Drosophila melanogaster: one gene and its partners. The protein of the gene in region 1 interacts with the protein of each later gene in a pairwise test. Each region holds a gene or a part of one and is shown in the gene's direction. Other genes may lie near its edges. The genes, in order: noc, trv and CG13044.

Region 1 (6,239 bases):
GAAGATATCGAGAGTATTCGAATTCGAAACTCCTTATAGTTGCATAAAACGAGATTTTTAGTCTTAAAGGACTCTGATGCACTATATAACTAGAAGCTCAATATAGTTTTTTATTTCAGATCTTATTATTGTTAACCTAATAGAACTGCTGCATCTTTAACTGCGTACCTTGTAATTTAAATTACGCTTTTTTTTATATTTGTAATCTTCGCTACACGACCTCCTTTTGAATAAAATGAAGTTATCAACGCTGAAATGCTGCAGGGTGAGCATTAGTCTGAAAGCAAATCGCTTTAGTCACGGTATCAAGGTGTTCCGCACTTCCGCTTGGCAATTTCTTCGGCTTCGTGTAATTTATAATATTTTTGTATTATTTATATGACACCCCCGGCCACTGGTTTGAATTTACCTTCAGCCCACTCCCGCAATTTGCTAGTAAATAATTCACATACAGGAGCAGCGAATTTATGACGCTGACAAAGTGGCCATAAAAAATAACAAATAATAAGAGAAAATGCTATGGAACGTGTGCGTAAACTCTCCAACTCTGCAGCAGTATACATGCATATATACACGTATATACATTATTTTGGCAACACTTTTTTCGCTTTGTTGCACGCAAAACCGCAAATTATGTCTAAGCCGTATCGTAAAGTATCGCAGCACGCTCTTAACTAATAAATCCATCATTTCGCCGAAGGCCGAGAGTGTTTCCTCTACCTGTTTTAGCCTCGAAGGTATTTCGCTGCCGGGTTTCGGCTTAGGGATTCCCACAGAAAAATGTCTAAACACTCTAAATCGGGATTAAAAGTGTCGCTTCTGGGTTTTCGGCTTATCGTCCATATTTATACAGATTTTAATTTACTTGCCAGGGGCTTTGAAGGGTTCTTAAAACTCAGCTTGGTGATTAGGTAACATATCCCAAGGGCCAGATATTCCAAAATCCCCTCGGGGCTTGAGTTAAACATCTTGATACATAGTTTATGGTTAGTCCAACCGATTTGGTTGGGATTACGTTGGAGTTTTAATATCGGTTAGGTAAAGTGGCTAGAATGATCTAGATCAACAAAATCTAAATGATTAGTCACATAATATTTTCTAACTACTTAAATAATAGTAATCAATTATGTTTAGAAGGAGCTAGCCTATTATTAGCTCTTAATAATTTAATATAAATCAGCCTCGTTTTGCAATTAAACATTATTAGTATTCAGTAATTATCTTGAAACCAAGCAACGTGATTAACGCGATTTCGTGCGAAACGTAAATAAGTAAGTTAGGCAAGTGCTAACTGGAAAATTCAATCCAATTGTAGAGCGATTAAAAATGCAGCGGAGTTAACCAAACCATTAAACTATTACCAACTCTCTGAGTGCAACATGCCACAACACACATTCGCTTGTTTGATATGTGCAGATTAATTACACACACACCAAGGAAGGAGGAAAAATTGCTTGGAAAAACTTTTCGACGCGACAACAAAACAACGATTTCCACTTAAACAGCAAAACAGGAGCCACGAAAAAAAAGAGGGAAAACCAACCGCAGAAGTTAATCGAAAAACGCTAAACAAAGGCCACAACAACAGCTGTGCGAGTGAGCGGGTCAGAGGGAGAGAGGTGAAGTGCCAGAGCGGGAGAGCGACAAACAAATTAATTTTTATATGACATTAAAACGAGCGAAGCGAGGCGATGGAAATGGTTGAAGAGTGTGTTTAAGTGTTGAGTGGTTTGCTTTTCCGAGCAACAAATCTCGGTGCGAAGACAATGAGGCCTCTGCCGCGCCGCTGCCGCCACCACTGCAGCGCTGCTGCTGCTGACAGCCCCATCAAGAAAAAGTTCCCCCAGAGAGACACAGAGAGGGAGAGTGAGCGTGACATATGTGCCAAGATAAAATTAATGTGCCCCCCAAAGCAGCCACAACAACAACAACTCACTGAGCGGCGCTCTCAGCGCTCAACTGTTGCTCTCTGGACGAGTGTTGCCGTGGTGCAGCCATATTATTATGATTTTACAGGAAGCCAAATCGGAGAGCGAGAGAGAGAAAACCTGTCTTGGCTTCCATTGCAAGGCGCATGCGATTGTGATTGGACAAAAAGTACGCCATATTTGAAAATTACGCACAGTGCATCTCGCTCGCATGCAGCAGGCGGTGCTCCTCTAACGCAGGCAGCAAGCCAAAGTGTGCAGCGCTGCTCGCCGGAGAGCGCTCTCTCGCGAGTGAGCGAACGCTTCGCTGCGAGGGCAGTTACGCTCGCTGCCGCAGTCGTTGAATTCAATTCGAATTTTGACTTCGCAGCGTTCAGACGTGTTCGGAAAAACCTGAAAACCATTCGAGTGACAAGAGATATAACCAACAAAAATAAGAAACCTCAGTCAACTGTGGTCACTGATCGAGAGTGTTTCGTTTCGAGTGAAAAAGTGAAATCAGAGCCAAAACACAAATCGCTTGGCCAGCAAATTGAAATAGTGCTACAGAGATAAATTCTCTGCTCAAAACTACAAGTGTGTTAAATCGCCGATTTTCTTTGGATTTACCAACGTTTGCCGACGCATTTCTGTGGATTAACCTCATCGTCGCCGAAGCAAAGCTACGCATTTGTAGCCTTGTCTCGCAACTCACGTGGATTACCCTCGAGAAAACACACTAAGCAACTGATATGGTTGTCTTGGAAGGAGGCGGCGGCGTTGTTACCATCGGTAACAACCAGTACCTTCAACCGGATTATCTGGCCCCATTGCCAACGACGGTTAGTATTGACTAAGTTAAAAGCTGTAAAATTTTGGGATGGCCGTAAAATCTATGGTTTTAAATTTTGCGTACTTAAGAATTAAATTTGGAAAGTTCATAACATCAAACAATTTTTCAAATCTAAAAATTTATATCGTCATTAATACTTTCACGAACAAACTTTCTTTGGAAGAAATTGCATTTTCTCATAGTTTTAACTTCTCACCAAATTAAAATCAATATTATCTTAAAACTCGTAAAAAACTTTAAAATTACAAAAAACCTAATTCCAACTCCACATTTTCATTTTATTCATAACAGATGGACGCCAAAAAGAGTCCCTTGGCTCTGCTCGCACAGACTTGCTCCCAAATTGGAGCGGATTCGTCGGCAGTGAAACCCCTGCTGGCAATGGACAAGAACAAGACAAAGCCCGGAGCATGCTCCTCGTCGTCGAACTCGTCGAGTTCCTCGGGCAGTGCTGAGATCTCGGCAGCCAAGTCACCCTCCGGCCAGGCCAAATCGCCCAAGTCGAGCACTCCAATCAGCTCGACGGCAACCAGCGCAAGTCTGAGTAATACCAGCACCGGTGAAATCAAACTGGCCTTCAAGCCCTACGAGACCAATGTGCTGAGCCACCAGAACCAGAACTCCTTCAAGAGCAGCTCTTCGCTGGATGCGGAACCCACGCGTCCCAGCTCTAAGAACTCCTCATCCGCCCAGGAGCGTGTGCCATCGCGCAGCAAATCAAATGCCACGCCCACAGATGGCGGCAAGGCGGAGATTTCCGCGCACGATTCCTCATCCAGCCGAAAGACTGTCTCCCCGTCGGGATCGTCGCAACGCGGCGCCAGTCCCATTGTGCGCTCCGGCATGGAGGTGCTGAACAATGCCAACGGAACCGCCCAGCATCCCAAGGAAATGAGCAGCATGGCTGCGGCGGCAGCAGCAGCAGCAGCGGCTTACAAGGCCGCCGGACCCTATGGGCTGAATCCCCTGTCCGCCCTGTGCTGCCCGCCCGGAATGGAGCAGCACGCCAATCCCGCTTTCCGGCCACCGTTTGCCGGAGGATTCTCACACCATCACGCCGCCATGTTGGCAGTTGCCGCCAATGGAGGATATCCAGGCGGAGCTCCCGGCGGTGGACCAGCCGGACAGCCCAATCCGTACATAAGTTATCAGCGCATCAAGACACCAGCTGGCGGCGAGGCTATAGTGCCAGTCTGCAAGGATCCGTATTGCCAGGGATGTCCCTACTCGGCGCACACGCAACAAATGCTCATGGGTGCCCCCTGCCCCGCCGGATGCACCCAGTGCGAGCATCAGAAATACGGCCTGGCCATGGCCAGTGCCGCCGGACTGCCACCAGCTCATCCATACTCGCAGGCAGCGGCCGCTGCTGCGGCAAACGCGGCGGCAGCCCGTTCGGCACCCTACGTGTGCAGTTGGGTGGTGGGCGATGCCTACTGCGGCAAGCGATTCCAGACCTCCGACGAGCTCTTCTCCCACCTGCGCACCCATACGGGCAATCTCTCCGATCCGGCGGCTGCTGCGGCGGCCTTGGCCCAATCGCAGGCTCAATCCCTGCTGGGAACCCTATTTCCGCCATCGGCTCTCCGAGCTGGCTATCCAACACCACCACTGAGTCCCATGTCAGCGGCTGCGGCAGCGGCGAGGTATCATCCATACGCCAAGCCACCACCAGGCGCCTTGGCTGGAGGACCTTCGCCCTTCGGCGCCGCTGGAGCATTCAATCCTGCCGCGGCGGCTGCGGCAGCTGCTCTGGGACCCTACTACTCGCCATACGCCATGTACGGCCAGAGGATGGGAGCGGCTCATCAGTAAAGTGACTTCCACAAGAGTTAAATACCAAAAAAAAGGGGATTACGTTGAAGAGACAACCAGAGATATAGAATGAAACCATTTCCAAACCCTGTTTGAGATACTTTCATGGAAAACAAAAAAGATAAAAGCACAAAACGATTGCAAAGGCTGACACATCTCTGGCTTTTGCGCTATTCTGTGATACTAAACTGTAGTTTAAAGAGCGCTAGTTACACTTAAGTTTCGCAAACAGAAAATAATCAACCACCTAAAGAACAGTAGTAGCCGCAAAAATAGCAGGATCACTCTCTTCTATCATCGTAAATGTCTACATTGTTAGGTAAAAAGAAGTGCAGCCAACACGAAGTTCACTCACTCTTATTTGTTCTCAAAGTTCAACCAAAGTTTTTTAAGTCTTAGCCAGAACACATTCTACAACTTCCAATTTTGTTAATGAAGAACCCATTGCTGAGATGTTCAAACATTGTTTTAGTTTAACTTCGCTTTAAGTTCTATTAACTATTATTACGATTATCTGCAAGCATACAACAAACCAACAATTGAAATAATGTTCTTTAAGTCAACTTATATTTAAAGTAAGTGTAATGAATATTTGTAATACCAACCAATCAGAGATAAAAAATTAAAAAAAAATAATAATAATTACGAAAAATAAAAATGAATATTTCATATAATTATGTACTGTGTGTAAATTCTATAAATATAAACTAGATTTGCTATTTACTCCTTGATGTACGCAAACCACAATACGATCTACACAAGAAGCCACGGAATATCAAACAAAAATAACTTAAACTACATGCAACACATTCGTATAAAACTGAGAAATATACAAGAAAAAACAATTTTTAGAAGCATAAACCACGAATCTTTTCTTTTGAAACAAACTCTTTTACAGCTGGAAAACTTTTTGTTGGGCCATAATTTCGCTTCGGTTATCTGCGCTGTTTGGCTAGCTCACATATGGGTCATAAATATTGCTGATAATGCTCCACTAGGTTTTCAATTATATTTACATAAGGCTGAGTGGCAAATTCCGGAAACCATAACAAGGTCTAATTCTCTTAATTTTATAGTTCTTACTTAGAAATGGGACTAAAGGAGTTTTTAATTCTGAGAATTGAACTGCTTCTTATAAGTATCATTGATATTAAATGTAAGGTTCTAGGCAAATAAATAAATAAAATCTTATAGGTTATTCTTTAAAAATATTTTAATTAGTTTTATTTTAGACAAAAGGTATTTTAATGTGCTCTCAATTTTTTCTGGATGCACTCGAAGAAATCTGGGTTTCCCCATCTCACCTAACACATTTGAAATTCAAATTAGTACTATTAATTTGCATTGCTTGTTGCATTTTAAGCGCACTCAATTTGTATGCAGCGATTCGTATTCAGCCTAAAAAATCAAATCAAAAGCAAATTTCAATTTCACGAGGGGTGGGGTAAATAACTTGATTGGGCAAGCCTTAATAAAACAGTCGCCGGCAACAGTCATAAAACACCCAAGCTGAAAATTAAAAATCAATAAAAATCACATTTGTACCAACAATGTGTATAACAAAAATCAATTGCCATTCAATGAGCAACTCAAATGCATATATAAATGAATATGTGTGCATATGTACGTATGTATGTACATATAAAAAAATCGCTGACAAAGCG
Region 2 (5,656 bases), on another chromosome or scaffold:
GTTGGCCCGCTCACATGCCGCCAAATGTGGCACGGCAGCAGCTTTGTTTACTTTTCATTTCCTTCAAGCAGATGCCACATGCTCCTCATTCCGGTCGTTCGATGGGTAAATAAACGGCGGGTTCTGGTTTGGGATTTCCCGCATCTCTGGGGGTCGCATTTTTTCGTCACTGGCGGACTAATTTGCAAGACAATTAGAAGGTCTCTGGCCGAACCAGACGACGGTCGCTAATGAAAGCGCGCGATAAGAAAACTTAACAAATGTCAAATGGCCGAAAGGAACGATGGAGATTGCAAGTCGGAGGTTTAAGCGCCGCCGGGCCACGCTGTCTGCGCTGAAAAGTAAAGTAAATGTTTACTTGGGAAATCTGAAATTTGCATAATTTGCCAAAGAAGCAAGGAGGAGACTGTCTGCCACCGATAAAGTCGCAGTAATATTCATGGCTTTCTTGCCGGGATGGATGACAAAGTTTTGGGCCAACGATGCCATCGTTGGATTGTGTCACATGTGCCCCTCTGACCAGCGAAAGATAATGTCCGGAAAGTGTCAAACTGGACGCCGGTTTGACCATCGGCCTGCCAGGATGTCGTCGATGCCGGCTAGCAGGTGTCAGGTGCTCTACCGAGTCCTGTCAGCTGATTCCTTTGGTCAGGCTCAACAGGATGCCACGTGCTCATACCACAGTTGTTGCTGGCTTGTATCGCAGTTCTGCAGCCGAGAGCGAACCGAGGAAAATTGCGATACAAGGAGCACTAACTTTCGCTCTCGGTGAGCGGCTCTTCGTGACTTGTATCGCATTTTCGCCGCCAGCCTGTTGTTGTATTGCTTCTCGCCCGCAAAACAACTCGTAAACAAAGAGCAGAGGCGTCGATTTACCAGGGGGTTTTCACCGGAACTGATCTTTTTCGAACCTTTATACGCGTAAATCGTCCGCCATTTTGTCATTTCTGTGAAATACTAAAGCTCTGGAGCGACTATATACTCTTGTTCGATGGCGCCTCCCCTTTGGATACATAAGGCTTTGTGACTTTTACATGACCAGCGTTCAGACTCCGCCTCTGTGTCGTACATGCAGGCTGCGAGTGCATTGGTATTGGTGAGAATCCTTGCAGCATGCGGAGAGTTGAGAGAGCTCACGAAAACGTGGTGCTGCTCCTCGGTGGTGGATGCAGCCGAAGGACTTCAACGAATTCGGAAAGTGCGCTACACTTAGTAGAATATAAACTTGTTAATAGGTAAGAAACATAAAATACTAGTAGATGGTAAGCCAAAAATCCTTTAATGGCTAGAGATTTTAATTAGGTATTTGTTTTAGTTCAAAGATGCACGCGAATACCAAATCAATTACTTAAAATATTTGATAATTAAAAATGTTTTTAAAATCACTTAATATTATTCGAAAAAGTATCTCGATTTCGTATGCTGGTGCAAAATCATATTCTCGCCTTGAGCTGTAAATAATTAAGGAACTCCCAGAGTGTGTCCGTATGACAAAGTGCAGCTCATCAGGCAACTTAACCCGCTGCCACTCAGAACACGGGCGCACTGAAGAGCCATCAAAACAGAGATACTCGTGAGGCACTTGGCCAGGAGCAAGGCAGCAGGACGATGGAGTTGGTGATGAGCCGGCCTCGTTCAGCAGATGGTCATACTCGCACCTTTGCGTCCTGGTGGTGGATGTCCTTGGCTCTCTCTCTCTCTCCTTCTATCTAGCTCTCTCTATGAATATGTGCAAATTAGCATATCAAATGCCATAAATGGCGCTAAGGCAGATAGCCGTGTGTTAGTGACTGTGTGTGTGAGCCACTCTCCATTGTTACCCATACGCCACGTTGCACGAGCGAATGAGCGCACGAAGGGCGGTGCAAAAAGGACGAGGGGTGGGTGCACCTGCAGCTGTGTGTGTGTGTGCGTGTGATTTAGTTGCATGCGATAATGTCAACCACAGAGAAGAGCCGTTCGCCTTTATTCCGCTGCTTGGGTTGGCTCGCCTTACGTACCCTGTATTGGTGGCACACGTGTGTGTGTGTGTGTGTGTGTGATGGGTCGCCTTCTTCTTCTTTTTTTCGGTGGTGGTGCAGCGCTGCCACTTCAAAAGCTACTGAAACTGCTGGACGCCGACTTTGGCGACTGGGCTCTTCAGTGTCAATTCGTCGACACGAGGCGCTGCTTTTCGCTCAGAACTAATCGTTAATGTCTTGGAAAGGATATCCTTCCTGACTTCCCGGTTTTCACGGCTACCACGTGCGCGTCCGCTTACTCGTTTTTCCCATACTCATCCTGATTTGTGTTCCTGCCTCTCCGAGTCGCGAGTTTTGTTGTGCCGAAGTATAAAAATTCGATACAAGCCATCGAAAAGTGGGCCATTCGGGCGGTGTCCTGCCAGGACCTGCACTAGTGTAAGTGAGCACTGCATTTTGGCGGAAGAGAGGGAGAGTGTGAGTAGAAGGCAGTCGCTCTCTTTATTGTGCTACGTGTTCTGACCTTGTTTACATTTTTTTTTAGTAGCCGCAAATGACAACAGCGGTTCAAAGGGTGCGCATGTGTACAAGAAAACAGATCCTTAAGTCAGATAAATATCTTGTGGGATTCTGAGATGCTACACTCCTTTTTGAGATCTTTTTCACGAGAATCCAGAAATAAACTTTTTTTAATTCCTTCAATGCATTGAACAAATATATAGAAAACTTCTGTCGTCGTGCTATTACTTATATAAATCAACTAAAAATTTACATTAAATTTTTTGTTAATTTTTTTAATTAAGGGAATACTTGGTAATTTTCCAGAAATTTCGAACTGAAATGTATTAAAAAGGAATTATTCTAACAAGCCCTCTTCACTGAAGTGTATTTTAATTACTTTAACGTAACCCTTACTACAATATTTCAAAATTCAAATGGTAGCTCAATGGAATTTGGAAAGAATTTCCAATTTTCCGTTCCGTTCTAATGCATTTATAATCAGCCGAGGATTACACATTTAAATGCCAGATTTAAATCACAACCCTTCCCTCAAAAGCCCAACCACATAATTTATGTAAAAACTTTATAATCCAGGAGAGGTTTTTTGTTGCAATGGCGCTTCATTAATTTATGAATATCAAATTGCATTTTGACATTTGCCAACAAAAACTATTTAAAACTTGTCCCGGCCTGTGCCCGGCGCACAATAGCCTTGGTCCCTGTCCCAGGACCTTTTCCAGGACCCCCATCCTGGCCATTTCTTCGCGTCCCCTGCCATTGGCGATTCGGTTTGATTGAAGCACCCGCATGTACAGAACATTTTAAATATTTACAAAGATATTTCAAAAAACGCTTTTGGCATGTTTTGTTTTTGTACCCAGTTCCTTTTATAATTGTTGTTGCTGTTCTGCTGCCTGTTGTTGGTCTGTTTGTGTGTGTGTGTCCAGAGGTCCTCTGAGTTTTCCCCCCCTGTTGGTCGAGTGTTTTGCTCACTTTTCGGTCGCTGGGAAGAAAAAGGGAAAACGAACTTCAAATGTGGCATGAGGGCGGCTCTTGAGTTTGTGTGTGTGTGCGTGTGTGTGAATGTGTGTTTGTGGGCGGAGCACTTGAGGGCGCGTGTGTCCTTTTAGGAAAGTGTCAAAAACCGTTGGTCAAAAAACCGTATGGCAATTATTCAACACAATTGAATATGAAGTGCGGCGATGGCAAGGGCGAGCATGTGGGGCGCAAAACAAAAAAAAATTGCAGCGCTGGGCAAATAATGAAAAATACACCCACATCAGTATTTTTCGGCTGTCTGCACTCAGGCGCACACACACCCACCCACCCACTCACACATTTGCACCCTTTTCATGTCCTGCTGCTCCTGCCGCCGTTGCCGTTGTTGTTGCGCAGTTGCTGCCGCCTGGCAATTTTTCGGTGATAAAATATTTAAATTTAATTAAGGCCACCGACGAGCAACACGATTGCCGGGGCCAGCGGCCAAAAGGGAAGATGAAGTGGTGCCGGTCCTGGCCGGACCTTTGACCCTGCATTCCCGTTCCCAGGAAACGAGGGGATACATACGGGGCTGGGGGCTTTGGACTGGGGTTCCACGTCCTTTTTGCGCCTTTTGCATTTGCGTATGGTGCGTTTTGCAGGCTTACGGCTCTGTTGGCCGGCAAGAAATTCATTAAAAATTTTTGCTTTGATGCTACCAAATTCTTTTTGTAAGTTTCTTTGTACTTCCAGCTTTGTACATCTCACGGACAGCACAGGGCCACAAAACATACTTTCAAAGGACCTCGGCGGTCGGTCTGTGTCCTTGCCAGTGATTATGTGCTCGGACTAAACCCCTTTCGGTTTTTGTAATTAAGCTGCGAGAGCCACAATAGTTGCATATGCACGCGTTTCTTCCCAGATATTGTGCACACAAATTGAACACGATTACAGCTGGAAATTGTTGGCCAAAAAGCAAACTTTCCATATGCTAGCAACTTAATCGCCGGCAAGAAAAATCAGAAAGTTGCTGTCTTGCTTGTCTAAACCCTGAAACTAAACTATTCCGGCTCTGCCACCAAACTTTTGATCTTGAGTTGTGCAAATATTTTTCATTATGCGGGCCAAGTATTTATGGAATTATGGAAATTTGTTTTTAAGATATTTGTTTCCGTTCTACGCAACATGGAAAGTTAAAACCTGTCAGTTTCAAGAGCGGATTTCGGGACATAATCTGGTTCGATTCGGAGTCTGTTTGTTGTTTCTAAACAACAACAACCGAGCTATAGCCATTATGTTGATTGTTTATTTTCAATAAATGTAAATGCATAAATGCATATTTTTTACTCACTATGTCCTATGGTTTACGAAATTGAACTTCTTCCTAGATCAATACTAACTGTTCACATCGTTGACCGATTGCCAGGACTCAGGATTAACCCCCGTATTCATTTCAGACCTGCAATTTTAGAAGTCCTCTGTCAAGTACCCCCATCGACTTCTGATTGATACTGTACGTATGTTGTAAAATGGGGATTTATGGCCTCCAGCATGCAGTTTGACAATTAACCATGGCCATTGCCAACTGGCTGAGGCGAATGCAAAGCTTCCAGCTCAGAAATTTGGCTACAGGCAGTTGCTACTATGGCTGGACACGTGCACCTGTTTTGTCACATCTAATATTCCATTGTTTGGTCTGTGGCAAGGACTCGTTGCTGGCCAAAATGCGTTTTGGAACATTCCAAGAAGCGAAGCCAACGGAGTCAACAATGCTCTATGGACAGAGGCATGCAAATTGGCCAGGAAAAGGGAACGGAATGAGAGCTGGCCAGAAGGAAAAAGGGCACAGGCCCAGCCAATTTTTCTTGCATTTGCCTTCGAGTTTTTCGGTTTTTCCCGTGTTATTGTTACCCCTGCCCGTCCTGTTTGTCCAAGTTGCCATTTCAAGCGTATTGCAATGAAAAGCAAACTTTCCATCGCACACGCAGTTCGGGTTAGGCATTCGGTCTTCTGTTTTTGGTCTCTGGGCTGTTGGGCTGCTTCTCTGCTGGACTCAACAGGCGAACACGGGGCGTATACGAAATTAAAATGCACTCAGCTGAAAAATTGGTTTTCTCGTTCTTGACAAACTTTGAGTGATTTCTGAAAGCCTACGACGGATGCCAGCCCATGGAGGGCGAATCGGCAAACGAGGCGCCAAAACCCCACCCACGGGA
Region 3 (4,020 bases), on another chromosome or scaffold:
ACACCGCCACTGGTGTGTGGTAAATCCATGGCCAGGCCCACTCCGAATCCTACTCCTCTCACTGTTGACAGGTGACCAGGATGCATGTGCATCGCTGGACGGTTTTGTGATACGAATTTTAAATAAATAAATGTTTTGCTTTGAAATCGTGCAAGTTGTTTTCTTCACCCTGCGGGTCATTTATCTTCCTGTAGTTCCTAAAGAGTCTAAACAGATGATAGTAACAAATAGCTTTTATCACTAATATATAGATGAAATATATATACTAATACAAAGGTACTAGAACTGAAAAAGTAAATTAACTGTGGAACTCATTGTTCTTGGTAAATATATAATGAAATTCGGGGCTGATTTACTTTGTCTTGAAATTCAAAATGTTAGGCGAAATGTTGACATTTTGACGTGAATTTAGACTTTTTTTTTAAACATTTTCCGGCGCGTGTGGACTTGGTCTTAGCTCGCTTGGTGTACTAAAAGTGTCCTGGTTCAATGCCCTGTGTCACGTATCTACTTACATCCTGCTGCACCTGTGCCGTGGGTAAATATTGGACACCCATATGTCGGAAAAACGCCACATATGTGGGTGAAAATTAGCTGGGTGACAGCGTGGGCATCCCGCTGGTTGGGAATTGCTGACATTTTCGGGCAGTGAACTCAACGAACCATTAGCCCTCTTCAAGGGCATTTCTAAAAGTCATTGTACCTCTGATTTAAACGTTTTTAATAATACAGGCTAAAAACATTTTAAATCACTTTTTTTACAATTAAAACAATACATTAGTTAAAATGTTTGGTGCGGAAGTGTGTAATCATGGGTATCTCCATCTTTAACTTGGCAGCAAAATCAGCAAGGGGCTGGAAAAACATGGTTAGTGCTCCACTCAATCCGCGATCCACCTCTGTCACGTTCACCTCCCTTCTGACTATCTCGTGGCGGCCATTAACATATCCATTGGTGCAGTGGATGCTCAGAAGGATTAGAACAAATATCTAGAAAGAAATCCATTTAACAGAGTATTTTTATGAATATTTTCTATATTTTCTTACCGCTTTCAACAGGTAATCCATTTGTAGTGTTATCAACGGCGGGTTAAATGCAATCACTGGTGCATTATTAAAATTCTACGCATTTATATACCAAATTCTGTTCAATTCTTCAATACGAGTGTTCTGGATGTTCTGGACAGGTGCAGTCACAATTTTACGGAATAGAAAAATAAACACAGACAGTTTACTTGGAGGAAAGCAACACTTCAGTGGTCGGATTAGGTTTAAAAATGGTCAACAAAACTGTACATATATATCTAAATCCATTTTCTTCCTACAAAAAAGTTTACAAGCAGTACATATATGGCGGGATTTGGCGAAACGTGCCGGGATCTCTAGCGGGATTTCTGGCGGGGCCTTTCGGGCTCCCGCGGGATTTCGGGATAAAAGGTAGAAAGTTGAGATTAAGTATGCAGATTCCAGAGACATATACATTTGTTGACCCACGTTGTAAAAAGACGCCACACCCACAGTTTTGAAAAAACTGTTAAAATTTTCATTTAATAATCAAAGAGGTTGTTGAACTTTCTCGTTCGCATTCCCACTAGCTGATAAGCGGGTATCTAATAGTCGAGTAAATATACTATAGCGTTCTTTCTGTAGCTTTTACTCACTACTGTTTTGAATGACCATTTTAATCAAGCAAAAATCATTGCGAATTCTTGGAATTTAAGTAAATGCGAGTAAGCCAAGCGAAAGTGTTTTCCTGTCATTATAAACTTGGCCTTGAATTGGGTCGGAAGCGATTACGATTGGTTTCCAATTAGAAGTAATCTCGGACCCTTGGTTCTCCCTCCGCACCAGAAATCGATCTTCAGGTGAGTACGTGCGACTAATGAGCTCCGAGTTGTGAAATGAAATCAAGAGTGGGTATGGCAAACAAGTGCGAGGCCGAAAATAAGTGAAGTAATGAGTAGTGGGAAAGGGGCAAACTCGGTTGAGGAGGCGAGCGAGCCGAACAGAAATTGGCCACGAATAATAATCTGGTTTATGGCCAAGACCCGAGACAAGCGGCCAGAATCCGTTCAGGCACGTTCGACTTATGGCTTATTGTATCCGCCTCAATTGACAAAAGCCGGCGAAGTGCGTGTGTGTGTAAAATGTGAAGTTCAAGTATAAAAGACGTTGACAGTCCCTCAGCTCAACACATTCGAAGTCTGTCTCCCTATCCAGCGACACCAGTCGAAGAAGCCAACACCACACCAATATGTTCAAATTGGTAAGGATCGCAGGGATATCCATATGGCACCACTTTGGAATACTAACTCTTATTCTCGTCTCCAGTTCGTTCTCGCTGCTCTTTTGGCCGTGGCCGCCGCCAAGCCCGGTCACCTGGCTGCTGCTCCTCTGGTCTACAGCGCTCCCGCCACCACCACCGTCGTCCAGGAGCCCGTTCTGGCCAAAGTGGGTGCTGTTGTGAAGAGCGTGCCCACCGCCGTGTCCCACCAGAGCCTGACCCAGGTGCACAGCACCCCCGTGGTGGAGGATGTGGTGGCTCCCGTGGTCAAGACCACCGCTGTCCACTCCGCTCCCGTGTTGGCCGCCGCACCCATTGTGAAGACTTTGGCTCCCGTCGCCTACTCTGCTCCTCTGGCCTACTCCGCCCCGGTGGCCTACTCCTCGTATGCCGCTCCTCTGACCTATTCCGCACCGGTGGCCTACTCGGCTCCCCTCTCCTACGCCGCCCCAGCTCCCCTGCTGCACCACGCCCCTCTGACCTACGCCGCTGGCTCCTGGTAATGTGGTGAGGATCGAAAGAGTTTGAACTGTGCCTTTCTAGTTGAAAAAAAATAAGGAAATCGAAAAAAGAATAAATTAAATTGTGAATACCAAACAGATGATGTGAATTTCTTAATGATGTGGGGATATATAAATTAATTCTGAAGTTTACAAAGAAGCGTTCTAAAAAGTGTTCCTACATTTCTGAATGTTTTAAAAACAGAATTAAATTCATTTGAAGTACAAAACTTATTTAACAATGGTATCGATGCACAATAACTAAATACTTCAATAACATTTTGAATAAACCAAAGCTTGAATTTTATTTGTATTTATTTATTTGTTGTCCCAGCAAATAAACAAAAATTTTTTTAATTGAATATTAAATTCAGGTTGTCTTTAAAATCAACAAAATTTAGACTTACTGAAATGTGATTTAAGAGACGCAGTTGCACCCAGCCATATTGGTTTGGTATGTTTTTTGATTATGTACGTTTCCAGAACAAGAACTAATGTTTTCCAATATTACTATATATATTCCAGAGGCTAGTTCACTAAAGCTATCATAGGTACTATGATATTACCTTTACGTCGAACGTTTTTATTTATTGCATATTTGATGTACATTTAAGTTTGCAATACAGAAGAGGTAATATGTTACACATAACCAAAAATGAGATTTTCTGTGGAGAAGGGTTTCTTTGTTCGTTGTTCTACTTCAGATAAATGCTGGGGTAACTGGATACTCCCCAGATTCCCGGCTCGTACCATCCCGCACTGTTGCCCGCGTATCCAAGTGGGGCATACGAGATCGAAGTAGCTGGAGCATAGGCTGCCTTCAGGATGGGCGTGTGATCCACAATGGGGCGCCAGTAGGGACGCTTCTCGTGCACCACTGTGGAACTCTGGTGTGAGACGGCGGCTGGAAGGGCATAACTCTCGTATCCTACGACACTGGGAGCATATTCCACGTGCTCATAGCTGGGCAAGTAGCTGGGGCGAGCCTGGATCAGGACAGCGAATACTCCGCACAAAAGGAACACCTAAGGGGAATAGATATTGCTTTAGGTATTTACCAAATATTATGTGTTATAGGGGCAACTCACAACTTTGAACATCTTCGCTGGGGAAACTCTGCAACAATGTTTGGCAGTGGAAGAAGTCACTCGGGTTTTATACAAGTCCGACCAAGGGAATTGGCTTCTTTACGTTAGAATTGGCACAAACAATCGAGCCATCATCTAAATTTTGTGT

Evidence for each region.
Region 2: the proteins of noc (region 1) and trv interact in a two-hybrid assay, tested with the Drosophila melanogaster proteins (one large-scale study listed by BioGRID).
Region 3: the proteins of noc (region 1) and CG13044 interact in a two-hybrid assay, tested with the Drosophila melanogaster proteins (one large-scale study listed by BioGRID).

Annotation. Positions count from the first base shown.
Region 1 is NT_033779.5:14,488,587-14,494,825, forward strand, and holds noc (no ocelli), read left to right. Parts: upstream 1-2,272; 5' UTR 2,273-2,659; coding exon 2,660-2,749; intron 2,750-3,051; coding exon 3,052-4,575; 3' UTR 4,576-5,433; downstream 5,434-6,239. UniProt on the Drosophila melanogaster protein: May negatively regulate Notch-induced cell proliferation in the eye-head primordium. Required for development of the supraesophageal ganglion and ocelli.
Region 2 is NT_033777.3:28,024,472-28,030,127, forward strand, and holds the start of trv (trivet), read left to right. Parts: upstream 1-2,143; 5' UTR 2,144-2,399; intron 2,400-5,656.
Region 3 is NT_037436.4:16,301,348-16,305,367, reverse strand, and holds CG13044 (uncharacterized protein), read left to right. Parts: upstream 1-2,189; 5' UTR 2,190-2,254; coding exon 2,255-2,266; exon of another isoform or gene 2,267-2,331; coding exon 2,332-2,787; 3' UTR 2,788-2,878; downstream 2,879-4,020. Other genes in the region: CG13043 (uncharacterized protein), read left to right, coding at 1-23; CG43249 (uncharacterized protein), read right to left, coding at 778-990, 1,048-1,068; CG4982 (uncharacterized protein), read right to left, coding at 3,480-3,809, 3,873-3,884.